Pelodiscus sinensis: one gene and its partners. The protein of the gene in region 3 interacts with the protein of the main gene of each other region in a pairwise test. Links are inferred from orthologs where the notes say so. Each region holds a gene or a part of one and is shown on either strand. Other genes may lie near its edges. The genes, in order: protein NKG7-like, TXN2, AGTRAP and ECPAS.

Evidence for each region.
Region 1: the proteins of AGTRAP (region 3) and protein NKG7-like interact in binary tests that used the Homo sapiens proteins (3 or more experiments, as listed by UniProt). The two-hybrid records come from large-scale screens. The link is inferred for Pelodiscus sinensis from reciprocal best matches to the Homo sapiens genes AGTRAP and NKG7.
Region 2: the proteins of AGTRAP (region 3) and TXN2 interact in binary tests that used the Homo sapiens proteins (3 or more experiments, as listed by UniProt). The two-hybrid records come from large-scale screens. The link is inferred for Pelodiscus sinensis from reciprocal best matches to the Homo sapiens genes AGTRAP and TXN2.
Region 4: the proteins of AGTRAP (region 3) and ECPAS interact in binary tests that used the Homo sapiens proteins (3 or more experiments, as listed by UniProt). The two-hybrid records come from large-scale screens. The link is inferred for Pelodiscus sinensis from reciprocal best matches to the Homo sapiens genes AGTRAP and ECPAS.

Annotation. Positions count from the first base shown.
Region 1 is NC_134734.1:3,104,286-3,111,697, forward strand, and holds the start of protein NKG7-like, read right to left. Parts: upstream 3,016-7,412; 5' UTR 2,720-3,015; intron 1,796-2,719; 5' UTR 1,763-1,795; coding exon 1,585-1,762; intron 1,189-1,584; coding exon 1,042-1,188; intron 695-1,041; coding exon 560-694; intron 1-559. Other genes in the region: protein NKG7-like, read left to right, coding at 7,220-7,412.
Region 2 is NC_134711.1:93,362,856-93,370,327, forward strand, and holds the start of TXN2 (thioredoxin, mitochondrial), read left to right. Parts: upstream 1-4,452; 5' UTR 4,453-4,592; exon of another isoform or gene 4,593-4,642; intron 4,643-5,167; coding exon 5,168-5,436; exon of another isoform or gene 5,437-5,439; intron 5,440-7,472. Other genes in the region: FOXRED2 (FAD-dependent oxidoreductase domain-containing protein 2), read left to right, coding at 5,350-5,399.
Region 3 is NC_134733.1:8,001,659-8,008,695, reverse strand, and holds the start of AGTRAP (type-1 angiotensin II receptor-associated protein), read right to left. Parts: upstream 3,009-7,037; 5' UTR 2,914-3,008; coding exon 2,887-2,913; intron 1-2,886. UniProt on the Homo sapiens protein: Appears to be a negative regulator of type-1 angiotensin II receptor-mediated signaling by regulating receptor internalization as well as mechanism of receptor desensitization such as phosphorylation.
Region 4 is NC_134716.1:10,165,411-10,172,812, reverse strand, and holds the start of ECPAS (proteasome adapter and scaffold protein ECM29), read right to left. Parts: upstream 3,004-7,402; 5' UTR 2,792-3,003; coding exon 2,755-2,791; intron 1-2,754. UniProt on the Homo sapiens protein: Adapter/scaffolding protein that binds to the 26S proteasome, motor proteins and other compartment specific proteins. May couple the proteasome to different compartments including endosome, endoplasmic reticulum and centrosome.

The DNA of each region.
Region 1 (7,412 bases), on a different chromosome or scaffold from region 3:
CATATCGCCTCCCAGATCTGGCACCCAACCCCTGCCTTAGCTCCTGCCTTAGCTCACAACCCAAATCCCTGCACCCCCTCCTGTACCCCAATTCCCTGCCCTGGGACACAATCCAACCCCCTGCACCCCAGTCCAGTGCCCCAGGTCACAACTGCCTCCTTCACCCAAACTCCCTCCCTTACCCCAAGCACCCTTCTGCTCCCAACCTCCATCCCAGACCCCGCACCTCCTCCTCCTCTTGGAAGAGTGCAGCCCTTGACCACTTTTCAAATTCTTGGAGAGCCCCCATCATAAATTCATGCCCATCCCTGTACTTGTCTAATACCCGGTGACAGAGACTCAGCCAGGGTGGAGAGCCACAACTTCAGTCCACCCGTGCTGTCCCATGGCACCCTCTCCCCAGCCCCCCACAATCCCACTCACCCTGTTCCCTCCACAATGCCTCTCGCCTGCCCCCACAGCACCCGGCCTCCAAATGGGCTCCCTCCCCCCAACCTGCCCCAGCAGCCTTCCCCTGTGGAGTCCCAGCCCGGCTCGCCATGGCGACCCCCCAGCTCACCGCTCAGGACCAGCAGCGGCAGGGCGGCCCAGCCCAGGTAGAAGGACCATTCGAAGGTCAGTTGGATCTGCCCGTCCTTGTTCTTGTCCCACGACTCGGCACTGAACACGGCCATGGAAACCAGGGTGCAGCCAGCTGGGGCAGGGAGGGGTAGACACTCTGAGCCAGTAGGTTCCAGGCTCCCTGTCCTAAAGGCTGGTGCCCCCATGAGGGGACAGGCTCTGAGCCCCATTGCATGTCCCTGGGCACCAGTCCCGCTCTGACACCCCCCAGAGGGCAGGACCTGTGCCCCATTCTCTGCCCCCCTGGGCCTCCCAGCTCCACTCCAGCACCCGCACCAGAGGGGCCAAGCCCCAAGCCCCATTCTCGGGCCCTGGGCCTGTCAGCCCTGCTCCAACAACCCCCAGAGGGGCCAGCCCCAGTCTTCAATCCCTGCCCCACTTCAGCACCCCCCAGAGGCCAGGCCCGGGGCTGGGCCCTACCGGCAGCGAAGGCTGAGAGGGAAGCGACGAGGCTGAGGCTCACGGGGCTCTGGAAGCAGGATATGATGGAGGACAGCAGGGACAGGATGCAGACGGCCGCGGCCAGAGCTGCCAGGATCAGGAAGGCCCGGGTGGCTTGTATATACCCTGTGGGGAGGGTATGGACAAGAAGGGTTAACGAGGAACCACCATCCCCAGCCAACCCTCAGTGGGTGTAGGGGGAGCCTGGAGCAGAGGGAGCGGGGACTCGGTAGGGCTCTCTGTGCATGTCCCAAGATTGGGCGATCGGGGCCTATCGGGATGGATGCCCACTGCTTCACCCCAGTGAGGGCCATGTCTCAGCGCCAGGTAAGGGGTCCCCACAAGAACACCTCCCACCCCCACCCCAGAGGTGGCTGCATCTCACGGCAGGGTGAGGGGTCCCCAAATGAACACCTTCCACCCCCACCCCAGATCCCAGGGCAGGGCGAGGAGTCCCCATGTAAACACCTCCCGTGCCCCACCCCAGAGGTGGCTGCATCCCAGCCCCGGCTGTTTCCTCACCATTGACCTGTGCAGGGGACACACACACCCCGCCCACTGTACACTGCTGCCAGAGCCCGCTGTGGAACGTGTCCTTGGCGCCATAGGCCACCAGCCAGTAGTCGGTGCTGAGAGCCATGCAGAGCAGCAGCAGGCTGAGCGCAGCCAGCAGGCAGCTCCCCACGCTACAGGCCTGCATCTCCCTCCGAGACGGGCTGGCTCAGCTACAGACCTGCAAGAGGAACCCCGAGCTGGGGACAGTCCCCGGGCACAACCTCTCCCCCACCCAGCCCCCCTGCCCGGCATCCCCCCCCCCCCCCCCCACTGCGGCTGGGCCTGCTGTGGTGCCAGGGCTGAGTCAAAGTGCTGCCATGACTCATGTTCTCCCCTGCCCTTCAGAAGGCCATGAGTTTAGTGGTTAGAGCTGGGGGGAGGGGGCCAGGACTCCGGGGTCTCTCGCTAGCTCCAGTGTGGGTGGGGAGGAGTGTTTGCTAATGGTTAGTGCTGCTACTGCTCTCCCCAGCAGCGTTTCACACCCCAACCACTTCCCGAGCTATTCTCATGTCTTCCCTGCAACCTGAGCTGCACGGCGGCTGCTCTGAGGAACTTGGGCCCCTGTCTGGGGGATCAGCCCCACAGACCCTTCTCGCTCAGCCCCATGGTCCCCCAGCCTGGTGTCCTGCTGCCACAGATCAGCTCCATGGGCCCATCTACCCTGGCATCTGGCCCCTTATCCATCTACCAGTTTCATTCTTTTCCACTGCCTCTGGACAGCTACCCTGGACCCTCTCCCAGCCCCCTCTGGGCTCCTGGGAACCTAAGGCACTCCCAGTGCTCAGGGCTCCCCAGCCCAGTGAGGGGGTCTAATGGTTAGAGCAGGGGGAGGAGCCTGGGGGACAGGACTCCTGGATTCTCTCCTTGGCTGTGGAGCAGGGAGAGGAATCTAATGGTTAGGGCAGGGCACAGTGGAAGTGGGGAGGCTGGGAGCCAGGACTGCTGGGTTTGCTCTCTGGCTTAGAGAAGGGAGTGGGATCTAGTGGTTAGATGGGAAGGGGTAGGGAGCCAGGACTGCTGGGTTCTCTCCCTGGCTCAGGGGAGTGGGGTCTAGTGGTTGGAGCAAAGGGGAGCTATATTGGCAAGGGGGGCGTCTCCTTACCTTGCTGCTGGGTGCCCCCTGCACACTCTGTCCGGCTGCACCCAGGCCCCCGGCTGTCTCTCCCAGCGGATGGGGTCACCGAGAAAGGAGGTGGGGCTGTTACTTGACAGGAAGGAGCAAGGGGGTGGGCTTTGTGGTAAGAGTGAGCATCAGAGGAAACTGTGTGTCTGTCCCTGCCCTGCATACCCCGATCTCTGTGTACCCCGATCCCTGCGTACCCCAGCCAGCCATACCCCGATCTCTGTGTACCCCGATCCCTGCATACCCCAGCCAGCCATACCCCATCCCTGTGTAGCCTGATCCCTGCGTACCCCAGCCAGCCATACCCCATCCCTGTGTACCCCGATCCCTGCATACCCCAGCCAGCCATACCCCATCCCTGTGTACCCCGATCCCTGCATACCCCAGCCAGCCATACCCCATCCCTGTGTAGCCTGATCCCTGCGTACCCCAGCCAGCTGTACCAGGATCCCAGCCGATCCCAGTGTCCCTGGCCCATCCATCCCCTACACGTTTTATATCCATCTAGCCCTGTTCACCCCGTGTCTCGCCTTCCCCAGACACCCCCTTTAGGTGCCTCTGGCCACCCCAACTCCTCAGTCCGTTCAACCCCCCCCCCCCCGTCACCTGCCCCCTTCCCGCCTCGCGCTCTCTCGCTGGCTCGCCGAGCTGTTTCTCTCTCTGCACCCCCCTCCCCCCGCTTCCTGTGCCTGTGGTTCGGGGGGGGGGGGGGCGGTCACCACCGGCACAGCTCGGCGAGTCACCGCTGAGGAGGGGACAAGCCCTCCCCTCCCCCGCTTTGACTGCAGGGGGCAATGGCTGCTCCACACCCCCTGGGTTCTCCCCCCGGCTCTGGGGGAGGAGGGAGAGAATGGATAAAGGGCGCGCAGACTCAAACACACACACGGCAAGGGGCGCAGACACACACACACACAGGACAGGGGGCACAGATACACACACACACACACACACGGCAAGGGGCGCAGACACACACACACACACAAGGCAGGGGGCTCAGATACACACACACACAGGGCAGGGCGCGCACACACACACACAAGGCAGGGGGCTCAGATACACACGCACACAGGGCAGGGCGCGCAGACACACACACACAAGGCAGGGGGCGCACACACACACACACACACGGCAAGGGGCGCACACACACACACACACACACACAGGGCAGGGCGCGCAGACACACACACAAGGCAAGGGGCTCAGATACACACACACAGGGCAGGGCGCGCAGACACACACACACACAAGGCAGGGGGCGCGCGCACACACACACACACACACACACCCACACACACACCGGCTTTCCTGCATACACCGGTCACTCCCCAGCCAGCTGCTCCTGCTCCCCCGGGCTCAGGCGACTGTTGCGGCCGGGGCAGTCGCGGGTCTCGGGGCGTCAGGAGGCTCAAAACAGCGGAGCAGAGACCAGCACCGCGCGCCCCGCCCCAGAGGTGGCTGCATCCCAGCGCCGGGCGAGGGGTCCCCGTGTAACCAGCCCCAGAGGGGGTGGCCCGCCGGCCCGGCTGGGGAACAGGCGCTGCCTGCAGCGGAGCGGGCCGCGGACGAGCCGGGAGGGAGCAGCGGCTCAGGGCTGATGCAGCCGCCACGAAGCCAGCGAGAGCCGCGCAGTCAGGGCGATGCGAGCTGCCCGCAGGAGCCCACGTAGGTGGAAGATCCACCGGCCCTGCAGGGGAGAGAGCAGCGCTGGCAGGGCGGGTGGGGACGCTGGGGCACTGGCAGGGCGGGGGGTTTGCTCTCTGGCTTAGAGAAGGGACCCCGGACCCCAGCTGGGCCCACGGGACTCAAGAGTGAGCCAGACAGGTCACGCCCCCTGGTGACCGGGTTGGGGCTCTGCAGGCCATTGTGCCCGGCCACGCCCCCTGGTGGCAGGGTGGGGGGTTCTGCAGGCCACGGTGCCCGGCCTCGCCCCCTGGTGGCCAGATCGGAGCTCTGCTGGTCACTGTGCCCGGCTACGCCCCCTGGTGGCCTTGTGGGAGCCCCAGCTCTGGGCGGGATTCAGGGGAGCAAAGGAGTTTGGGGAGCAGCACCTGCGAAGCAAGCGGGGTTGGCGTGCACAGGGATTTGGGTACGGCTGTCTGGGGGGTGCGCAGGGATAGGGATATACAGGGATCGATCAGGGTATGGCTCTATGGGGTATGCAGGGACTGATCAGGGTACAGCTGGGTGGGGTATGCAGGGATGGGTAGGGCTGTGTGCCTCGATCCCACAGGGTACGCAGGGACAGACGCACATTTTCCTCTGATACTCTCTCTGCCCACAAAGCACCCCCCCAGCTCCTTCCTGCTAAGTAACAGCCCCACTCCCTTTCTTGTTGACCCCATCTGCTGGGAGGGACAGCTGGGGGCCTGGGTGCAGCTGGAGAGAGTGTGCAGGGGGCACCCAGCAGCAAGGTACGAAGATATCCCACTCTGCTCCCCAAAACTGGCCATCGCCCCCCTCACCACTACAGCTCCTTCTGCTCTAACCACTAAACCCTACTTCCTTCCCCAAGCCAGTGAGAGAACCCAGGAGTCCTGACCTCTGCCCCCTCCCCCACTCTAGCCATTAGACTCCACACATTAGATGGGATTGGTCCTACCTAGGGCAGGGGGCTGGACTTGATGACCTTCTGAGGTCTCCTCCAGCTCTATGGTTCTATGATTCTCCCTCCTCCCCAGCCAGGGAGAGAACCTCTCAGTCCTGGCTCCCAGCGCCCCCTCAGATCTACCCACTGGGCCCTCTCCCCTTATAGAATCATAGACCCTGTCATGGTCTTTGTTTAGACCAAGGTGAAAAGTGTCGAATTTAAGTATGAATGACAGTTCAAAGGATTCTCTTTCAAGTCTGGTGTTAAAAGGTCTTTGAAGCAGGATGCAGGTAATCAAGTCGTTGAGACAATGCCCTTTCTGGTTGAAATGGCAAGAAACTATTTTTTCTTTGTGATCCTAATATCTGTTTTGTGGGCATTGATCCTTTGGCGAAGTGTCTGAGACGTCTGTCCAATGTACATAGCAGACGGACACTTTCGGCACATGATAGCATAAATTATATTTCTGGATGAGCAGGAATATTTGTTCTTAATCTTATAACTCAACTGGTTAGGTCCAATAATGGTATCGGCAGAGTGAATATGTGGACAAAGCTGGCAACGAATCACAGATAGTACATTAATTTAAATGAAAAATTAATTATAAAAATAAATAGAAATAAAATCTTTGTTTAGCCCCCAAAGGAAGTATTCCTCTGTCTGTGGTTTCAAATCCTTTAAAGAACCAAACACCAGTTACCGAAACCTAGTTTCCATTTACCAGAAGCTGGAAATGGGCACCAGGGATGGATCGTGCTGATTGCCTCTTCTGTTTAATCCTTCTGTTGGCAGACAGGCCTCTGGGCTGGAAGGACCATTCTGATGTTCTTATCTAGAGCTGAAATGTATCTGCCCCCTGCTATAACCCACGAGACCCGACTCCCCTCCCAGAGCTGAGAGAGCGCCCAGGAGTCCTGACAGGGTCTAGGATTTTGCACAAAAGGTTTTTTTTTGCGCAAAATGGAAGCGTCTGTGCTGCTTCTTTTTGTGCAAAAACCATTGGCAAAACATATGCTAATGACATCAGACTCATGCTAATGAGTCCGTCATTAGCATACTCTCTGCCATAAAAACCTTGGGGTATGTCTACACTACAAAGTTAATTCGAAATAACAGCCATTATTTCAAATTAATTTTAATAGCGTCTACACATACAAACTGCTATTTTGAAATAAATTGGAAATAGTGGAGCTCATATTTCGAATTTGCTAAACTTCATCCTGCAAGGAATAACACCAAATTCGAAATAGCTAATTCGAAAGAAGTGCTGTGTAGACACTTACTTCGAATTGGGGGCCTCCAGCCCTTCCCAGTTTCCCCTGGTGGCCACTCTGGGCACAACCAGGAAAACTCTCCTCTCCCCCAGCCCGGGGCCCTTAAAGGGGTAGAGTCTGGCCACTGAGCACATGCAAGACCCAGGCCTGCCAGCAGCCACAGACCCTCAGCCAGTGGCAGCCAGTGGCAGCCAGCGGTACCCTGCCCAGTCCCCAGGGGACAGCCGGGGCGCCCAAGGCAACAGGCAGGGCAGCGGAGCCGAGGCCTGCAGGGGGAGCGCAGGGGGAGCGCGGCTCTTGCTGCCCCATGCGGCCTGGGAAGAAGTGTCAGCGCCCCAGTGCGGGGCCTCTAGTTCCCCCTCCCGCTGCAGAAGCAGCCCCGCCCCCCCACTCCACGCTCGCGCTCTCCCCCCTCAAACGCAGCGCCCCGCCGGCTCCCCACCCCCCCGCAACCCACCCGGCCCGCAGCCCGCTCGCCCCCTCTCCTGCCTCGCCCCGCCGCGCTGCGCACACGCGGCCGCTGAGACGCCAAGCCCCAGGGCAGCGGCGCTTTGGGCATCAGCGAGTGACCCCCCCCCCCCCCCCCCGCAGAGAGCCCGAGGTTAGCAGGCCCGGACTATGGCTGGGGGGGGGGGGAGGCTCCCGAAAAGCGCCCGCGCAGCGTTGCCGCTCTGTGGACACGGGGCGCGCGGGGCTTTCCGCTGGGGCCAGCCAGGGCGCACGGCGGGACGCGCTCCCACTGCCCCGGAGAGGCGCGGGGGCGGGACAGCGTGTCCAGGGGCGCACGCAAAGCCTGTGGCCACTGGGAACC
Region 2 (7,472 bases), on a different chromosome or scaffold from region 3:
AAAAAAAAAAACCTGCTAGATAAGCTCACAGAGGATGGATCCAACAACAGCTATTAGCGAGAATGGGTTGGAATTGTGTCCCCAGCCTCTGTTTGCCAGAAGCTGGAAATGAATGACAGGGAATGGCTCACTTGATGATGACATGTTCTGTTCATTCTCTGTGGAGCACCTGGCACTGGCCACTATCAGGAGACGTGATACTGAGCTAGATGGACCTTTAGTCTGAGTGTGGCCAGGTCCCTTGAGCAGCAGGGTGGCTTAGTGGTTAGGTCCCAGAATTAGCTGACTGGGTACAACCCCCTACCGCTGGTGACCCAGGCATAGGAACTCCGGCCTATTACCTGAGTATAGTTCTTAAGTTCGAGGCATGGTCCAAAGGCTACATCTAGACTGACAAGATTTAGCGCAAATACTCTAAACGCAAGAGTTTTTGCGTTTAGAGTATTTGAGTAAGGGAGCGTCTATACTGGCATGTGCCTTTGCGCAAAAGATTTGCTTTTGCGCAAAAGCATCCGTGCCAGTAGCCGCTCTCTTGCGCAAGAAAGCTCCGATGGCCATTTTAACCATAGGGCTTTCTTGCGCAAGAAATTGGTGTTGCCTGTCTACACTGGCCTCTTGCGCAAGAACACTTACCCCTGAGCAGAAGCATCAGAATATTTGTGCAAGAAGCACTGATTTCATACAGTAGAATGTCAGTGTTGCACAAATACTCACGGCCAGTGTAGACAGGCAGCAAGATTTTGTGCAAAAGCAGCCGCTTTTACGCTAAATTTAGCCAATGTAGACACAGCCTAAGAGTCCAAATTTTTTCCTCCTCTGTGGGGGTTCCTCATAGGTTCTCCCCCTTTCCTTTGAGGGGTGAGATTGGAGGCTTACATGCCCTGAGGGCTGGCCAAGTAGACAGGCTCCACCTGGGGGGTCCTGCACACAGCAGAACCAGCTCCTGTATCCTCACTGGTCAGCCCCTAACTGAGCCATGGTCTTTCCTTTTATACTCCCTCCAGGCCTGGCATTGGCTACAGGTGAAGCGGGGCAGAGCTAGCTGGGCCAAAAGGCTTTGTTTAACTCCTGTACTGACAAGCTCTCCTCTCTTCACTTCCTCACACTGACCCAGTGTGGCTGTTCTTATGGGACCATTGTGCTCTAGAGGATAAATGAGAAGCTGGGATTCATTGAGGCTTCTCCTTTTAGCTGAACACTTCACAATGCCTGAAGATAGTGTTGCGTTTATCTTATGAACCAATGTCTGGGGAAGCAACTGGGAATCACAGGTGTATGAAGAGAAAGAGAGAAGAGATGCACAGATGCTTTTGATGTGACAGTCACATTTTGAGGACCAGTTGGAACCTCTTCATTCGATGCTGGGTCCAGCACATTCTTGTGTATACTTGAAGATTTGTATGTTCAATGAATACAGAAGCGGTACCTTCAGAAGCAACATTTTTCCTGCACTTTGGTGGAGACAGCTAGGTGCATGCCAATATATTTAGTTTTAGTGTAGGGCAATATGATGTCACTGCCTGACAGAGGTCCCAAAAGCCACCCCACTCTCTCTAATGATGAGCAGCTAACCTGGGAAGCTTAGGCCCAATGTGAGCTGTCACTAGATTGGCCCTGCTATCCTTTCTGTTACTTTAATTGGTGGAGTTGGTATTCCATGCCTGCTGCTCCTATTTAGAATAGATAGTCCTTGTATTTTTTTTAGTGCAAATAGGAGAGATATTTTGCTATGTCCTTCCAAAAATCTTCTAGGCTGTGTCTACATTGGCATGATTTTACGCAAAAGCATTTGCTTTTGTGCAAAAACTTGCTGCCTGTCTACACTGGCAGGGAGTTCTTGCGCAAGAACACTCTGTGTGAAATCAGTGCTTCTTGCACAAGACCGATGATGCTCCCGCTCAGGAATAAGCTTTCTTGTGCAACTGTTCTTGCGCAAGAGGCCAGTGTAGACAGGCAACATGAATTTCTTGCGCAAGAAAGCCCAATGGTTAAAATGGCCATCAGAGCTTTCTTGCGCAAGAGAGCGTCTACACTGGCACGGATGCTCTTGTGCAAAAGCACATCTCTTGCGCAAAGGCACATGCCAGTGTAGATGCTCTCTTGTGCAAATACTCTAACACAAAAACTCCTGTGTTAAAGAGTATTTGTGCAAAATCTTGCCAATGTAGATGTAGCCCTAGTATTTTTCGCTCTAGTTAAAATGTGTATTCTAGTTTTCTTCCCAGATGTTCCTATTTATAGCTTTCAAATGTTGCATGGTAAATTGTGCATATCAATCAAATGGAGACAGACCTCTGTCACTTCCTGGAAACCACTAAGCAGGGCAAAATGGTAGGAGTTTGAGCTGATTCTGCCTGCATCCCCATGATTTCTGTGAAGTAGAGGAGGGGCAGACTGGAATCAGCTTCCCACTCTCCCTATATCCATAAGAACATCTTGCATTTGTGCTTCCTGCTAAGATGAATGGAGGAAAAAAGGTGGACCTTATTAATTCCTTCCCATCAGCTGTTTCCTAAGTATTTCCCAGGGACCTCTTAAACTTTCTTGGTCTTTCTATAAAGACCCAGTTCCCATAGCTTTTTGCTGCTGGAGTTTGGGGAGCAGTTGAGATAAGCGAGGGACTGAAAGGTATCACTTTTAACTGGAAGCACTGGAGCCACGTCTACACTTCAGGCTTCTTGCGCAAGAACTGTTTTGCGGAAGAGTACTTGTGCAAAAGTTCTTGCGAAAGAGCGCATCCACACTGCCATGTGCTTTTGTGCAAGAGATGTGCTTTTGAGCAAGAGCGTCCATGGCAGTGTGGATGCTCTCTTGCGCAAGAAAGCTCTGATGGCCATTTTAGCCATAGGGCTTTCTTGCACAAAAACTCTTGGCTTCCTGTCTACACTGGCCTCTTCCTGATAGGGAGCATCAGAGATCTCATGCAAGAAGCCCTGTTTCCTGATGCTATACTGTAGATTCACTTGTGCAAGAACGCACATGCAGTGTAGACAGCTGGCAAATTTTTGCACAAGAACAGCTATTCTTGCGCAAAAAGCCTGCAGTGTAGACATAGACTGGATGAAAATGTTGCTGCTATCAAAAGATCCACTTAGTAGCTACTATCAAGTTGATTGGGAGAAATAGGGTTGGCCTTTCACCTGTTGTAAATTGGTATTGCTCCACTCTCTTTAATGCAGTTACATCCATTTACACCAGCTGTGAATCTGGCCCAGAAAGAGGCCATTGAAAAGTCTATATTCACCAAGCAGCCCCCACAACTCACCATGGGATTCTTACATGTGGTCTGTCCAAAGAGAATGGAATTAGGAAGTCCACTGAACACTGACAGACCTGTCTGACCTAAAGGTTCAGTTTTGTTGTCGGGGAGACACTAAAACCAAGAGCAGATCCACTCGACATGTGTACACACGCATCTATCTGTGCACACACGGTCAGAGCATCCTCTTCTCTTTCACTGTAGTGTCCCACACAAAATCCTAAGGCTGTCAATTCCTAATATGTGAGTTGCCTAAGAATGCAGTTCTGTTCTGAAAAGAGACTAAGAATGGCACTTTCTTTACTAGTTTGGTCCCTGTTATGTGTCAGAATCAGAAACACCTGCATCTGAAAGTGTTACTGTTTATTTCTGCATGTAGAGCCAGCAGCTGAGACAATGAGCAAGATTAGATATGAGCCAGAATCAATAAACAACACAAATTCCAACTTAATTTCTCCCATTGTCCCTCTGGGATCCCAAGCAGGGATGGTAGTTAGGAAAATCGCTCTGTTCATAAAGTAGAGAGGTTGCATCTGGATGTCACACAGGAGCAATATTTGCAAACTACCATGGTGCCATTTTTGTAATGACTTTTCAGAGCATAATTTCATTTTAATACTGATGCCATTTCTCTGATGTGAATTACTGCCTGTTGTAATTGGTTGTACGTATTTTATATGGCTATTCTTCCAGTCCAGTTACAAAAATGTTTGCACTGCTTCCACGCTTGGTTTTTTAACCCTTTGGTCGGGGGACACCAGCTGTACTGATTGTATAGGGAATCACGGTGCTGTTATGTGGGGTTTTGCTTTACGTAGCAGGTATTTGTGTTACTTCCTGTCCCATCCTTATTTTTGACACTTGCTATCTGGTGTCCCAAGCAAGGTGTCACGTGGACAAGCCCTCACCAGGCCCGGGATGCGCTTTGTGAGCAGGGCAGGGGCACAAGCAGCTGGCTCTGGCCCAGTCCCGACCCTGCAGCGGGTGAGCACAGCGGAGCCAATCCGCAGCCCCGGCTCACGTGGGGGGAGGGTGCTCTGCTGCTGGTGGATGACGACAGCCGGGCTATTGAACAGCCCTTCTCCGCAGCCAATCAGCACCCAGGAGCCCTCCCCTGTTTGCAACCAACCAAGAGCTAGTTACCCGCGGATAGTGTCGCCAGCCAATGAGCTCCTAGGATTAGACAACAGCGAGCCGGAAGTCGCTGTTCAGGGGCCGATGAGCGCGCGGCGCCCCTCGGCCAACCCGGGGCGCAGGACTCCTGGCGCGCCTCCTCCCTCGCCACAGCCAATCCGCTTCCGGCAGCCTTTGCGTCACTTCCGCCGCCGGGAAGGTGAGTCGTGGGGCATCTGAGGAGTGCGCCGCCGGGACCCAGCGTGCGGGGTGCGCGTGCGGGCCAGGGCCCGGGAAGTGGGCGGGGCGCTGCAGTGGCGCGGGGCGCTCAGGGCACAAGGGACCACAGCGCAGCCGGGCCAGGCAGCAGTGCGAGAGGGCGCAGGGAGAGGGGCAGGGTTAGCATTGTGCAAGGGAGCAGCGCAGCCCGGGGCACCGGTGAGGCCTTGGAGTACTGTGGGTTAGGCTGGCCTAGCAAGGGGCATAACGTCACTGGGAATGGGGCTGGCATGGAATGGGGGGCACAGTGGGCTGAGAGGGAGGGGCACTGAGGGGCTAGCATGGCAGAGATGCGGTGGCAGGGTACGGGGAAGGAGCATGGGCAGGGCTGGCATGGCAGAAAGAGGGGCATTGGCTTCACTGTAGGAAGCAGGAGGAAAGTAGCAGCAGCAGCAGCAGCGTTCCTGGGGCTGGAGAGTTGTTGAGAAGCATAATGTCCGGAAATGCTCCTTCTCTGCTCTCCTTTTCTCCATGGCATGGTTGATCCAAAATGCCTTTTTTCCTTTCATTATACAGATGGCTCAGAGGCTCATGCTGAGGAAAGTTCTATCCGTCACCCTCCAAAAGCTCTCTGTGCCGCCTGTGTTGATCCTTTCCAGGGTGTCAGGAGCACCATGCTACCCTAGATCACTTGTCCCTCTTACCCAGGTCACTATGCCTGCTTCCCTTAGAACGTTTTCTACTACACCTGTCTGCAGGGTCACATTTAACATCCAGGATGGGGCTGACTTCCAGGACAGAGTTATGAACAGCCAGAAGCCGGTGGTGGTAGACTTTCATGCTCAGTGAGTATTAGGTGTGGAGTCTTGGGTCCCTCCTTCTTTTCTCTTTATATCCTGGAAGTAACATGCTGTCACTATGGCTTTGGGCAAGTTGGTTACTTTCCTTTTGCCTAAGTTTCTACCTCAGTAAGGAAGGATAAAAATGTCTTTCTATCTTTCTAAAGTGTTTTTTGATCTATGTGGGGAAAAAATCTGACCTCATATAGCACTATGCTTTAGGCAAGTTTGCTGGTATACCTACACTGGCAAACCTTCCTAGTGGAGACACAACTGCTACAACACACACAAGCACTTTTGCTTGTGTTTATACAGGTTCCCAGAACAGAATAAGCTATACTGGCAAAAGGTTTCTGTGTGCTCCTCATTCCTCCCTCTCTCACCCTCCTCCCCATACCTGTGCACCTTTGTTTCCATTTCCTTCCATGGCACTGTGTGGCCCCATTTTCTCCATATCCCTCATTATCTCCTCCACCCATTCTGAAGCATTTCCTGACCTCCCCTTCATCAGGATTTCTGTATGCCCCCCATTACTTTCACCCCTCCTGCATATCCCATTTCCCCCCTCCGCCGTATGGCGGGAATTTTAAGTGCACTCTTATTATCCTTTTTCTCCTATTCTAGAAGCTCTGTATAGCTCCATTTTCCCTCCTTACATAACCAGGATTCCTCAGTCTCTGTTCCCAAACACCCAGGGTTCTGTTTCTCTCATTCTCTCACAAACACTAGGGATGTTGAAATGCATTTAATTAAGTTCCCGTGTAACTGCTGAAAAAATCAGCAGTTACACAGTTACAGGCAGAGGCAGGCAGCTTCCCAGGAGCCAGTGCATGCAAGAAGCCAGCTTTTAATCTGGCTCCATGAGTACTAGTTCCCATCTGCCCTCTCCTCTCCTCTCCCCTCTTCTCTCTATTGCTGCCTCTGATACAGCCTCTTTTAAATCAGTTACATGGCTACCGGGAGCATATATGTAACTACACTTTCACATTCCTCATGCACACACACTATTTGTGCACATTGTTATTTTCTCTGCTGTTTCACTTTCTGGGAAAGAAGTCAATCAGGATGTCAACATGTTAAACGCTTGGGAGAATGAGCAGAGATGAGATGTGGCATGTTATTCTGGAAGGCCTTAATGCCTGCCATCAGCCAGGTTTTTTGAGCTGTAGCACTTTCAGAAATGCTGGTTACTGTGTTAAAGAGCTGGCAGGGTGTCATGTATTCCCCATTTTGTTCCTTCCGATTTTCCAGATTTGTTCCTTCCCTCAAATCTGTGGGGTTCTGGCCATTGATTCCTAGAAGGTTTGCTGGAATTGATCGGGTGCAGCTCTCAGAAATTTGCTTCACACCTCAGTGTTGTAGCAGCATAGCTACATTGCTCAAGGGAGTAGAAAAACCACATTCCTAACTAGCATAGCTAAGCTGACAAATCTTCCCTTTCCCCCCCCACCAGTACAGCTATATTGAGAGAAGAGTTGATATAACTGCTGTTGATATAGCTATTGTCATTCAGGGAGGAGGTGTTCCTGTACCAACAGAAAATCTGTCATTATAGGCTGCCTCTGCACTAGAGGACAATGCTGGCCAAAGCGTCATAGTGCGGATGTAGCCACAAACACAGAGAAAAACTTTTGAGTTTAGCATGAGGTTATAGCAAATTTGGCAGTAAGTATGCTACCAATATCTGTATACAAAACATAATGCTTGTGTATGTCACCAAGATGTTAACATAGATCGTGTAACTCATACCGATTCATAGGCTCTGTGCTATGCCCAGGTTTTAAATGATCCCTTGCAGGCAGAGATGACCTGTACTTGCTGATTGTGGAAGACGGGGCACACTAGAGGTTTGGGCAACCCCACCAGACAAGACCCCACTTATCCTCAGCCTCCCTTCCTGGAAAGTAATGCCCCTTCCTGCAGCTCCTAGCTGTTGCTCCTTCCTCTCCCCACAGGGCTACGTCAATTGGCTCTTCAAGCAGCTGCCAGGCAGGGAGGGGGCCCAGCCACCCCCTGTGACTAAGCAGGATGGCAGAAATCTG
Region 3 (7,037 bases):
GACAAAGCCTCTGTCGAAAAAGGCGTGCAGTCTAGACATAGCCCTAATGACAACCAATAACGCCAGATAAAGAAACAGATCTCAAGATGGGTAAAGAAAACTTAGTTTGATAGCATCTCATGTATCAAGAAACTCTTTAGGTGGGATTATGGAATCCTCATTGTATGATTATGATCCTCACTTTTCTATTGTTTGTTTGTATGATCTCTGTCTCTGGTTTTATACATATATATATTATCATGAGCTTTCATGGGCAAACACACTTCTTCAGATGAGATCTCATCTGAAGAAGTAGACTTTGCCCATGAAAGCTCATGGTACTATATATCATTTTTTAGTCTCTAAGGTGCTACAGGACTATTCATTGTTTTTAAAGTTACAGACCAACACAGCTAACTCTCTGTGGTTTTTAATTGTTTCAGTCTGCTGTGTAATTAATTTTGCTAGGTATATATCAATTGAAGTGGTGGGGTATGGTTAGTTAGGTAATTCTGTTACAGTATGTTAGGACTGATTAGTAACATTTTAGTAAAATAATTGATGACAGTCTAGCTAAGCAGGACTCAAGTTTCACTATATAAACTGGGGCCCAAAAGAGAATTTTTTGGAAGCCAAATCCAGGACACAGCTCCAAAATCAGAGCTGCCAGACCCTGTGCCAATAACACTGTGCAGAAATTGGAGTCCCCGAGCTGGACCTGAACCTGACTGGCTATCAAGACAAGTTCATCTGACTTACTGGGAGCGGTGAGCACTGTATGCTAGCATGTGCATGCTGGCTTTGATAGTGATTAATACAGAGAGATTAAGTAGGATATTACCGTGTAAAGCTCATTCCCTGATAAAAGACCCCACAAACCCACAGAGTGTAAGGTTACACCTGAGCCCACAGAAGGAAGAGGGTGGGTGCCTATTGAAAAGGTTATACCTGAGCCCTATAAATGGGTGAGGGTGGGTGCTCCTAGAGCAGGGGAGGGGAAACTTTTTGGGGTGGGTGCCACTGACCCACAGAAAAATCAGTCGGGAGCCACACACAAAATACCCTCATTGATGTGGCACCCAACTGAGAGAAAGATATTCTCCCACATGCCCCTTGCATACCACAGCCTCTGGGGGTCCAGCCTAGTAGATTTTGGATGCTCCATCCCCATGGGGGGTAGCAGGGGGCTGGAGTGCCAGCACAGGCTCCCTGCAGGAGGGCACCCTAAGCCTCAGGGGCCAGATTCAAGCAAGCTGGGGGCCACATCCGGCCCCCAGGCCTAAGATTACCCATCCCTGTCCTAGAATGTGTGAACAACAGAGAATTTTGTATGGGTAACATCCTGAGATGAGAATAAGTCACTATATTTGATAAAACCAACAGCCAATAAACATCTTGTACCTCCAGCGCATCAGGGAGAGCTGTATCAGTCACACTGCACCATGTGAATACAGCTCTCTGGAGTGCACAGTGAGGATCATGCACAGCCTGTAGCAGAGGGGGAATTTTGACCCCTGGGCAAAGGCCTGACCAACAGCAAGAGTCATGGAACCTTTACCGAGCCATTGTCAAAATAAAAACCACCCTCCAATCTGATGTGTTTTCATCTGTTGGGGTTATCCTGACAGTAAGTCTATTGTAAACTGCACTGTAAACCCCAGCTGTGTGGACTTGGTATTTCCAAGCTAGGGCTTGAGTATCCACACTACACTGGGCCCATGGGCTTACAGCTGGGGGTCTCAGCCATGCTAGCTGAGGATACAACCCTACTGGAAGACAAAGACCTTCAGGTTTGAGTCTGCAGCTCCAGCTGCCTCTTATGTTAAAAAAATACAGAGTTTGGATCCCAGTTAAAGGGCGACCCGGGCTCACCCACTGCCCTAGAACAGAACAGGCAGGGCCATCCTTAGGGTTTATGGGCCCTCTACCCCAGGGCAGGAGGGGTGAGCGATTGTTTACAGCACCCCCACTGTACAAATACTTCTCACCTCCAGCGACACACCAATGAAATATTCTTAAAGCGCCTTTTCAACGACGGTTCTGTCGACTAAGAGAAAAGTCCATTCCGAGGGGGACAGTGTGGACCTCGGTTTGGAGAATGCCTGTTCCCCGGCTTCACTCCCACGTGCCGCTCACGGCTCCGGCAGGCTCTCCCGCTTTGAAGCGCCGCAGGACCCCTCCCGAGGAAGCAGAGCCCGGCCAGGGGGCGGCGGCTGGGTGGACGTGAAAGACCCAGCGCTGCCCCAAAGGGCCCGGGGGCGTGTTCTGCGCCCCGGTGTGCGGGCGCGGGGGGCTGCGGGGAGGCGCGGGGGAGACCGGGTGCCGCGAGTCCGGGGTGGCCAAACTGCAGCTGGTCAGCCACATGCGGCTCTTGAACAATTAAGGGCGGTTCTGTGCCCCCCCATTCTTCTCCCACCAGCCGGGGGGCGGCTCTAGGGCCCCCCCATTCTTCTCCCACCAGCCGGGGGGCGGCTCTAGGGCCCCCCCATTCTTCTCCCACCAGCCGGGGGGCGGTTCTGCCCCCCCCATTCTTCTCCCACCAGCCGGGGGGCGGTTCTGCCCCCCCATTCTTCTCCCACCAGCCGGGGGGGCGGCTCTAGGGCCCCCCCATTCTTCTCCCACCAGCCGGGGGGCGGTTCTGGGCCCCCCCCATTCTTCTCCCACCAGCCGGGGGGGCGGTTCTGCCCCCCCCCCCATTCTTCTCCCACCAGCCGGGGGTTCGAGACCTCTGCCTTGCAGCGGGCCGGTGCCCGAGGGGCTGCCCAGCGGGCAGGGCGGTCTTGAAGCTGCAGCCCCGCGGGACCCACCTGCCAGGGCTCGGCCCCCCCCCCATTAGCCCTGCGCCCCTCCGCCCGCTGCCTGGCCGCCCTCTGCGGGTCGCTCAGCCCCGGCCCGCCGCCCCGGTACCTTGAGGTTCACAGCGGGCACCTCCATGCTCGCGGGGCGCCCCCGCCTGTCCCGGCCGCTTCCCAACTTTCCACCGCCCCGCCCTGCCCCCGTGACTGTGCGGGAAGCGCCTCACGTGGGGCCGGGCGGGGGCGGGACGCGGCCGCCGGCGCCGGGCTGGCTCTGCCCCCCGCGTCCCTCCTCGGGGGCTCCCCCAAGCCAGGGCTGCACAGAGACGCCCACCCAGCCCGAGAGCGGCCAGCCCAGCGCTGAAGAGGGAGAAAGACACAGACACCCCCAGAGAGGGGAGCGGGGAATTGACCCAAGAAGCTGGATAGCCCCCCCCCCGAAGCGGCATTGAGGGGGGGCGGCAGCAGGGCGCTGGAGATGGGGTGCTACTGCCCCCCTTCAAGTAGTTCCCAGGATAGTCCCCATTGTAGGGTGTACAGTTTGATTCCATGACTCTCAGCACTGCCCCTGTACAAATTGTTCCCACTCCCCTGTGAACTCAGTAAGAGGGTGTGTAGCCCCTGGTGAGGGAGCAGGCCATCATGCCCTAGCTGGCGACCTGCCACACCACCTCAGATGCTGGTCAGTATTCCACAGGGGCGGTTGGTATCCAGGCAGGTAGGGTGTGCAACCCGACTGCGTTTTCTGCACTGCCCCTTCTTCCTCTGGCTGCTAGTGCTCCCAGTTCTCACCCCCTTGGCTGCAAATCAGCCGTGACCGTGAAAGATTTTTGCAGGTGCAAATGTTATTGTTTAAAAGCAAGCATGCAAAAATGTCTTCCCTGAGGCCAGGCCTCTTTGGAAGCTGCTAAAGGGTCAGGGTGTTTTTAATGTCACTGCACATCCCTCCATTGCTGCCTCAGTTCTTACAGCCCCACAGGAAAGGGTGATAAATCCTTTTGACCTCCAGAAATACCACTTCTCATCAGTGACTAGCCTGCCCTGGGAGTTGAGGACATTGATTCTTGCACTGTCACTGCTTTAAAAAGTCCCAAAGTGTTCCAGCCACGCCCCAAATTAGTTTCAGCAGTGTGCTATGGGGCTGTGGCCAAGTACTGTGGGGTAGCATCACTCCTCCCAGGGAACTGTGGAAGTCTGGGAAGAAATTTCCAGAAATCTCTCCCATTTCATAATCTGCTCCTTCACACTGTTTTCCCTTCTCGCTACCAGAAACCTGAATCCTGCGCTGATCAATGCAGCTGTTTTGTCCATTTCAAGGTCTACCATAGCAGCCGGACATTCAGCAGGGAGACAGAGGATGAAGCTGAGCACCTGTTGCAGGCTTTCACTGAGTGATGGCACCTAGAGAGATGGTTTGGGTCCAAACAGTGATGAGGCTGGAGTGTGATACAAATCTGAGAGCACCAAAAGTGGCTGTGGGACATTCAGCTGCAGAAGGCCACATGCCTGGAACTGTGTGCGGAGCTCACCCCAACCCTACAGAGACTAAGAACCGCATGGACAGTAGAGAAACAGGTGCCGCCAATCACTATCTGCAGGTTGCAATGCTGGATTGCTCTCAGTTGGTGAACAGCCAGTTTGGTGCTGGAAAATCTGTGGTGGAGGCAGTGGCCACCCAGGTGTTCAAAGCCATTAAGAGTGTCCTGCTGTGGGGGCTTGTCAGGCCAGGCAGCCTCCAAGAAATACTAGATGGATTTGATTTGATGGACTTCCCAAGGCTGCACGTGGCATTTCAAAGCAGCAATGCCGTGTGGAGCCCGGGGTCAGCTGCTTGAGTCCCCTGCTGGCCCCTAGGGCTGTTGCTACACTTCAAAGGTGGAGACACCCTTATCGACTAAACAAATAGTCGATGCAACTTGCATCAACAATTCGATTAGCCAGTTAATCTAAATTTAACATCCCTACCCCTTGTTTTGCTGCTGAGTGCATAAACAGAAAGGGGTACTTCATCATGCAAGCATCACGGTAGGTGATTTACTGACATTTAATGTTGGCTGGTCAGGGAACGTCCTGGATGCTCCCATCTTTAGGAATTCAAGACTTTTTGAAAACCTGAAAGCAGGGACTCTTTTCCCCGACTGTCCTGTTGACATTAATGACATTGCAATGCCAGCTGTGATTCTTGGCGACACAACCTATTCTTTGCTTCCCTGACACTTTACTCCAATCATTGGCAACCTGGAGAAAAGCAAGGAAAGATTTAACCATCCCCTGAGCCAGTGCAGGATGGCTGTGGAGTGTCCTTTGAAGGGCAGATGTCTCATGTCAAGGCTAAATCACCATGAGGGAAATATTCCTGCTCCAAAGCGCCCTTTGACAGTGTGCATTTCCCAGGCAGTGTGTTACTTTGTGTTAGTGTACATAGTGTAAAGGCAAAGAGGAGTCTTGTGGCACCTGAGGCCACATCTCCACTTGCCACGCTGGAAATGGATCTTCTGGCATTTGATTTAGCAGGTCTAGTAAGGACCCACCAAATCGAACATTGAGGGCACCCCCGGATTGGTGCTGGTACTCCTTGATTTGTGAGGAATAAGGGATGCTGATGGGAGCATTTGTTCCTGTCAGCCTCCCACTGTGGAGACACAGTGCCAAATTTGGATTGAGGTGTCAGCTCCAGCTACATTATTTACATACCTGGAGTTATGTACCTTAAGTTGACCTTCTAGGTCTAGTATAGAACTAGCCTTTGAGACTAAGAGATGTATTAGGGTATAAGCTTTCGTGGGTAAAACCCACTTCATCAGATGAATTGGAGTGGAGTTTACAGAGGCATGTATATATATATAAGGACAATCAATTGTTTTTAGGGAGAGGGGTGTTTTTCCCTTCTGTCTCATAAGACAGGGAAAATACAGCTGGCTTTTCACAAACTAGAACTTTTCTTAAACTTCATGGCTACGTCTACACTGGCACCCTTTTCCGGAAATGCTTAAAACAGAACAGTTTTCCGTTATAAGTATTTCCGGAAAAAGAGCATCTACATTGGCAGGATGCTTTTCCGGAAAAGCCCTTTTTCCGGAAAAGCGTCCGTGGCCAATGTAGATGCGCTTTTCCGGAAAAAAGCCCCGACCGTCATTTTCGCGATCGGGGCTTTTTTGCGGAAAAGACTACTGGGCTGTCTACACTGGCCCTTTTCTGGAACAGTTTTCCGGAAAAAGGACTTTTGCCCGAGCGGGAGCAGCATAGTTTTTCCAGAAAAGCAGCTGATTTCTTACAGTAGATCGTCAGTGCTTTTCCGGAAATTCAGGGGGCCAGTGTAGACAGCTTGCAGCTTATTCCGGAAAAGCGGCTGCTTTTCCGGAATAAGTGGCCCAGTGTAGACACAGCCCATTTGTAAAGAACTAGTGTACGAGCTGGCTGCACACAGCTGCATCAGAGCAGGCAGGAGGTGCATTCAGAGCAGTTGTTATTATTGTCCTATCACATGGAAGGCCAGGGACACTGCTGCTGGGCGGTTGGGAGCCTCAAGGATGAAGCCTACGGCCCTAGCCAGAAGGAGTCATTCTCCATGTTGCCAAATGGCTGCTGAAGTGCCAGGCTTTAGCGTTTGCTCTTTAATGTGCTCTAGCAACTGGCTTTGTGGTTTAAGTCCTTCTGAATGAGGTCGTACCGCTCTTGATCCTGTTGGTCTTTTTGCCTCTCTCTCTGCTTACATTCCCCCCAGGACTGAGTCTCTCTGTCTTCAGTCTGGACTAGTTCAGAGAACGTATCTTCTCTTGTCCTTTTCCTTTGTTTCCTTATCATGCTGAGTCACTCAGCAGGAACCCCGCAAGGTCAGAGACAAGCACGCAGACAGAGAGTCACTGTTAGGGGGAAAAAGGGAATCCCAGACAGCAGAAGATAGATGGGAAAACCAAGGGAGCTGCAGCTGTTAAAGGTGTATAAAGATATGCAATGAGTAGTCCTTTAGCATCTTAGAGACTAGCAAATATATAGACATGGTAACACGAGCTTTTGTGAGCAAAACCCACTTCTTCAGATGAGCAGAGCTCATATCTTTTTGTTAGCCTCTAAGGTGCTACAGGATGACTCGTTTTTTAAAGTTACAAACTAACACGGCCACCTCTCTGAGACTTTTAAAGATACGCAGTCGCACAATCACCTTTGCTTCACACATACACAGGGAAAGAGATGGAGAGCTTGTATTCTCCCTTTAACGGTACCTTCATTATTCTTTCTTGTCTCTCTCACAGTTGAGAGAAG
Region 4 (7,402 bases), on a different chromosome or scaffold from region 3:
TCACTGTTTAAGTTGTTCATCTACCAAATCATGAATATCCTCATGGAAAAAGTTTAAGCAAGCACTTTTTTCCACCCCCTCAACAAAAAAGGTAGTAACAGCTCATCTATTTGATTGCTTCTACAGACCAAAGTTTATTACAGCTAAATATCTACAAAACAGGGATAAATTGGATTTCTGGTCTAAAACAAAGTCATGGTTACTCTTACAGGAGGCTCATTATCCTACCAATCAGATCCCTAACAAAATACAATGTGATGTCTAATTTTAGTCTCTCACATCCTTCTTCCTGAGAAGTCTGCCCAGTTTTCCCCTCTCCCGGTACTACTTATGTTTCTTGTTAAAGTTCATCTTTGACTGCACAACTTTTCCATTTATTCATAAGAGGTAGCATTAGAAAAACCACCAGCATCCCTTTTCAAAAAAAAAAAAATACCCACTACCCTCAGGTCAGAAGGCCTGAGTAATTTCACAAAGTGTGAGAGCAAAGGAAACAACAGTGATGTATCATTGACTGTTGAGGAAGAATTTCATGGCTGATGGGGGACCATAGAGTTGGAATAATTTTTCTAGACTACAGAAAATGGTCATGACAATGATTCATCCCAACTCTCATTTGAGTAAGCATGTTAACATTTGTGTCAGACTTGAAAACAAAAAAACAGAATTATTGACAGTAGGGACTCCACTAGTATTTTAGTGTTCCATTGTCTATACCCCTCACCCAACAGTTTATAGAAACTAGAGTTCTCTCCAAAGAGAGGACACAGAAAAGTTACACAGCAAACACCAACGTGTGGTTTAAATATGACAGCTTGCAGCTTGAAAATCCTTAATAGCTTTCTTTCTTCTGCTGAGTTTCTGGTGGTAATTCAATTCCACAACCAAGTCAAGTCCAAAACACCATTTTCCCCAGCCCACACATCAGGCTCATAGTTCCCCCAGCTGGGTTATACATCATCTGAAAACTAGTTATACCTCAGGAGATGCAGCAACAAGAAAACATTCCCTTAACATTTTATACTTCTTCAGAGACAGGTTTATACTTACTGCACCAGAGTCACCAGTAGATGTGAAGGTTAAAAAACCACCCAAAACTGGGTGTCGATTTCTGACCAGCAAATGAGTATTTTTAAACTTACACAACTACATTACTCAAATTCTGACTTCTATCCTCATCAGCACTGAGAACTGCATGGGCCCACAGTGTGCCATGCAATTCTTAATGCGGGATTAGGAACATCATTTGCACAAAAGAAGACTGAAATGGATAAATGTGTTTTCCAATATATTTTATTCTTACATTACGTTTCTACTTTAAATCCAAACAAAACATATCAAGCTCTGGAAGGGGAGAGTTTTCATATTTTTTCCTTATAATGAAAAAATATACAGTGACTGAAGGCTTATCTGTATCTACAGTGTGCTTTCAGCAGAAAATCTGAAGAAGAATATAAGTGACCAGAACTTTATAATACTTTACACATCTGTAGCACTTCTGATCCATGCATCTCTAAGGACTCTACAAACATTAAGCTTCACAATACTCTAGTCCAGCAGTTTTCAAACTTTTGTACTCCTGACCACTTTCACACAACAAACCTCTGAATGTGACTTCCCAGGTCCTATAACTGACAGGTTCTACCTCTCCCCTCCCCTTTTTCTTCTGTTATAAATTCTGGGTTTATGTTATCCCTCTCGAGCTCATCTGATGAAGCGGGGGGTTTTTCCCCCACAAATACTCCTGATATATTTGTTAGTCTCTAAAGCTGCTACAGAACTACTTGCCGTTTTTAAAGTGATTAACATGGCTACCCCCTGAGACCTTACAAACTAAAAAACACTTTTTAAAAAAATGTTTAGCCCTATCATAAATGCTGGTGGCAAAGCAGAGTTCGGGGTGATGCCTGACAGCTCACAATCCCCCAGGTAATACCCCCATGGCTCCTGAGCGCGCCCCCCACACACACACACACACACTTTGAGAACCACTGCTATTGCCTGATAAGGGAGAATAACTAATGACAGATCAGAGATGGAGAACGGAGTCCAGGTGGCCAGGACGGGGCTTGCCCAAGGTCACCCAGCGAGGAGCTGGCGCCCCCCTGCAATCACTGAGCAGGGCAGGCAGAGCTGATCTGCTCTAACCACTGGGCCAGGCTCAGCTGACAGCCTGGGACCGAGGACTACATTTCCCAGCCGGCCTCAGTAGCAGTTCCTGCGGCGGGCCCCACGCCCAGAAACTCTCAGCTCCCCAAGCTGGGCCCAGGCCCCTGGCAGGGACGGGGACACCGGGCGGAGGGGCACTCCAGAGCCGGGGCGCGCAGCCTCAGGCCGGCGCCACCCTCCCCTCGCCCTGCCCCGCGGCTGGGCCGCTCCCCGGCCCCAGCGGGCAGGAAAGCAGAGTCACTGCGGCGCTGCCCGGCCTGTGCCGGGGCTGTTCAGCCCCCGGAGCCGCAGGCTGGGGCTCGTGCCCCCCCCCCCCACACACACAGCGGGGCGGGCGCTCGCCCCCTCAGAGCGCGCTTTCCCTTTCGCACCATGACTGCGCACCGCCGCGGCCTAACGCGGCTCCCCCCGCCGGGGCCCCGGGGCGCAGCGCCCGGACACTGGGGCGAGGAAACCCGCATCCCCCCCTCACAGCCCTTCCCCGCTCCCGCCGCAGCGCCGGCCCGGCCCCAGCGCGGACACGCGGCGGGAGGGGAAGGGGGGGTCCTGTCGGCCAAGAGCCCCCCCGCGCGCAGCCCCACTTACTCAGCTCGTCCTGGGCGGCGGAGGCGGCCGCAGCCATGTTGCCAGCCGCCGAGGGGCGGGGGCGCGCGGCTCCGGAGGCTCCCTTCGCTCAGGGTGGCTCCCAGCCCCGGTCCCTCCCCTCCTCGCCCGGCTCTCTCCCTCCGCCGCCGCCTGGCCCGGGGCGCCCGCCCGCCTGCTCGCCGCGCCCGCCGGCAGCTCCCGCGGAGGGGGAGGGTGCGCGGCTCTCACGCCCTCCCCCAGGCCAACCTCCCTCGCTTCGCTTTAGTTTTATATTTAGAAAGAGCTGAGCCATCGTCCCAGCCCCCCCGCCCGGGCCGCTTTCCCCTCCCCTCCGCCACGCCACCGCCTGAGACACCGGCCGCCCCGAGAGCTCCGCTCGCCGACGGGCGCCAGGCACTAGCCCCGCGGCCGCTCCATGTGCGCAGCGGCCCTGGGCGCCTTCCCTCGCCCTGCCCCCGCACGCGGCCTGCCCCCAGGCCGGGCCACTGACCTGAGTCCAGGCTGACCTCCATGGCTCCCGAGGCACTTCTCTCCACTTGCAAGGGGGTCGGGGTGGTGGAGAGGCTCGGGTCAGCAGCACAGCGACGCCGCTGCCTTTCTCCCCCTATCTGTGGTAGCTGCTTGTAGCAGTCTGGAGGATTTTCTAGCTGGGAAAGGTGTTGCCCGGGACTTGTAGCCAATGCCGACCAGGCACAGATTTAGAGGAAGTGTGAAACACCCTCAGAGGGGTGCTACTTCCTCCCATCTGTCCTCCCAACAGCCACTAGGGTCCTGGCCATACCCTCAAGCTGCTCCAGGAGGGACTTTGTTCCCTTACCTTAGTTTTTCTTTGCAAGCTACTTTAGACTTTTACATGGGAAGTTATGCCCTAATAGCTAATCCTGATTAACTATCCAATCTTTAGGTGCTCATAGATTACCAGTTCTACCTATTTGGTTTTCCCTTTTATATTTTTATACCCTCTGCTCCTTGTTTCCCACACCCTTCCATTTTTTTCCTTCTCCCCTATTTCGTTTGGATCTGCACATCCTAAGCTCACAACTCCAGTCATCTGAAGAAGTGGGCTGTGCCCACAAAACCTCATGATACCATCTCTTGTTAATCTATAAAGTGCTACCAGACCATTTGCTGTTTTTTAAATGTATCTATGTATGAATATTCCTATTCCAGAATAAGAGTGGTTTATTCTGAATTAGCAGCACTTTTATGCTGGAATTAGTGTGTCCACACATGGACTTAATGGGGAATAGTTAAGCAGCTTTAAATTCACATCCTGCCATATTCGATTACTTTTCATGTGTGGACACTCATACTCCAGAATAGGTGTGCCTTATTCTAAATTAGAGCTCAAACGAGTGGATTAAACTATATGGATTTAAAGCATTTCCATTAGACTCCTCCACTCTCTGGATATGTCTACACTGGCATGATTTTCCGGAAATGCTTTTAATGGAAAAGTTTTCCATTAAAAGCATTTTTGGAAAAGTGCGTCGAGATTGGCAGGATGCTTTTCCGGAAAAGCACTTTTTCCAGAAAAGCGTCCGTGGCCAATCTAGACGCGCTTTTCCGCAACAAAGCCCCGATCGTCATTTTCGCAATCGGGGCTTTTTTGCGGAAAACACCACTGTGCTGTCTACGCTGGCCCTTTTCCGGAACAGTTTTCCGGAAAAAGACTTTTGCCCAAAGGGGAGCAGCATAGTTTTTCCGGAAAAGCACTGATGATTTTACATTAGATTATCGGTGCTTTTCCGGAAATTCAAGCAGCCAGTGTAGACAGCTGGCAAGTTTTTCTGGAAAAGCGGCTGATTTTCTGGAATAACTTGCCGGTGTAGAGACAGCCTCAGTGTTTCTAATTTACAAATACTCTTTTAAAGACATTAACAATCCTCATCTAGTGCTTCAACTCTCAATGGGTACCAACATCAAGGTATAATACAAAAATCCACCAAGGAACAACTCTGTCTCCTATCCTCCTGGTACCTATATTTAAAAAAAAAAAAACACCTCTGCATTTGGGAAAGAATAGAAGTTTCATATTTAAAGCCTTTATTTTAGCCATGAGGTTATTCTCACTGAGATATTATCGAACCCTGTTAATAGAAAAGACAAATGTTAATTCTAAGCAACTTTAAACATAAGGTTGAATTGTATAACGGAAAACCCAAAACCTAACAAATATATTAGCACTTCCTTATATACAGGGCTTGACAAACAGCGGCAAAAGTCGCTCGCCAGCCCTGCACTGCGCATGTGCAAGAGCCGCGTTGTGGATGTGCGCACCGCTGGTAAACGGGGCACACAGCTGAAATCTATTCGCCACAGGCGAATAGATTCTATAGTTTGTTGAGCCCTGCTTATATAGAATGTACACACATTCCCTTCCTCCATATCTTTCCATAGTATAATTTACAGAAGACCCTACAGTGCCCAGCTTTTTTATAATAGCTGTAGCTTGTCTGATCCTTGAAAGTTGAGCCGTTTTCCTTAGAGACTGAAGAACAAATGGACTGGAAATATTCTGGCATTGATCCATTACCTATTTGTTCTTTTTTTTAAAATCAGGGTTTCCAGTGTTAGAAGTTGCAGTTTGCTCTATATGGGTATGTCTACACTGCAAAGCTATTTCAGGATACTAGAGGTATCCCAAAATAGCTATCCCATGTCTTCTGAATATGTCCGCTATTTTGAAAAATAGCAGACAAGCTATTTCGCCATCCCTATAAACCTCATTCTACCAGGAGTAAGGAATGGCTCAAATAGCGCTTTATTTCAAAATAGACTCAAAATAAGCTATGAAATTTGCATAGTGCAAATTGCATATCTTATTTCGAGTTTAGGGTACTATGTATATGCACCCTATGAATCCAGATGGAAGGGGAGAGTGATCTCATACCAGGAAGCGTTGCGTGTGTTAGTGATGGTGCATGCACAGTTAGCCTGCTGTCACCAGAAGATGACAAAGACACAGGACACCAAACTGCTTCAAGCCCTAGTCAGAATGGCTACAGCACAGGAGTTCAAACTGAGGGGACTGTGAATTTCACCTAACAACAGTGTTTCCTCCTGCACAAACTGACTAAAGCTGATAAAGAATTGAAGAAGCTAGTTCTGGAAAAATTGGATAATAAGACTGTCAGTGAACTATTTTATTTTTGTAGCAAAAGGTGCAACAAACTGCTTAAGTGAAATGTTATCATCCTGTGGTGAGAGTTGGGTCTATCAAAAATGGGCTGGCAAGAGCTAGTTGTGTTCATGTCAAGAAAAGGATTTAAGAAAATGGGAACAAACAAGCAAGAGAAGGAAAAGTTAATATACAGGCAGTCCCCGAGTTACGCGGATCCGACTTACGTCGGATCCGCAGTTACAAACGGGGCCGTTCCTCTCCCTGGTCTCCAGCAGACCAGGGAGAGGAAGCAAAGCGGCGGAACACGTGGGCAGCGGACAGGGCTGTCCGCTGCCCACGCGCTCCGAGGCTTGGCTCTGCTTTGCCCCCCCCCCCCCGGTCTGCAGACCAGGGGGACGGGGGGTGGGGTGGGGCAAAGCAGAGCCAAGCCGCGGAGCGCGCAGTCAGCTGACAGCTGTCAGCTGGCCGCGTCCTCCGCGGCTTGGCTCTGCTTTGCCCCTCCCCATCCCCCTGGTCTGCAGACCAGGGGGACGGGGGGGCAAAGCAGAGCCAAGCCGCGGAGCACGCGGGCAGCGGACAGCCCAGACGCGTCTGGGCTGTCCGCTGCCCGCGTGTTCCGCCGCTTTGCTCCCCGTCCCCCTGGTCTGCAGACCAGGGGGACGGGGAACAAAGCAGAGCAAAGCCACGGAGCCCGAGGGCAGCAGGACAGCCACGGCGCGTCTGGGCTGTCCCGCTGCCCCTGTGCTCCATGGCTTTGCTCCGGACACCTGTGGTACAGCAGCTGGGGCGCTGCCAGTTGGTCCCATAGCGCCGCTCTGGGCGCTACTGGACCAACCGGGCAGCACCCCAGCTGATCTGCCCCAGGCGTCCTGATTCAGCCACTGCTGGTCAGATTCAGCAGCGGCTGAATCAGGACACCTGGGGCAGAGCAGTTTGGGTGCTGCTGGGTTGATCCAGTAGCGCTGAGGAGCGGCGGTGCTACTGGACCAACCCAGCAGCACCCCAGCTGCTCTGTCCCAGGCGTCCCCAAGTCAGCCGCTGCTGAAACTGACCAGTGGCTGACTACAGGAAGCCCCTGCCCTGGGCTTCCTGGAATCAGCCGCTGATCAGTTTCAGCAGCAGCTGACTTGGGGATGCCTGGGGTTCTTAAGTTGAATCTGTATGTAAGTCAGAACTGGCGTCCAGATTCAGCCGCTGTTGAAACTGATCAGTTTCAGCAGCGGCTGAATCTGGACGCCAGTTCCGACTTACATACAGATTCAACTTAAGAACAAACCTACAGTCCCTATCTTGTACGTAACCCGGGGACTGCCTGTAGAGAGAAATAAATGTAAATGAAAAAAAAAAAAAAAAAAAAAACATGGCAAGACTGCCATTTCAGTAGCATCACAGTTCAAATTAACAAAGAGGCTATTTTTATGATAACTGTGTGACTAGTTCCCAGTTTACTGGAAATGGTCTGATTTTGAGAAAATGCCTCAGCCTATTGTATCAAAACCAAGGGTTAGTCTGTTCCAGTTTAAA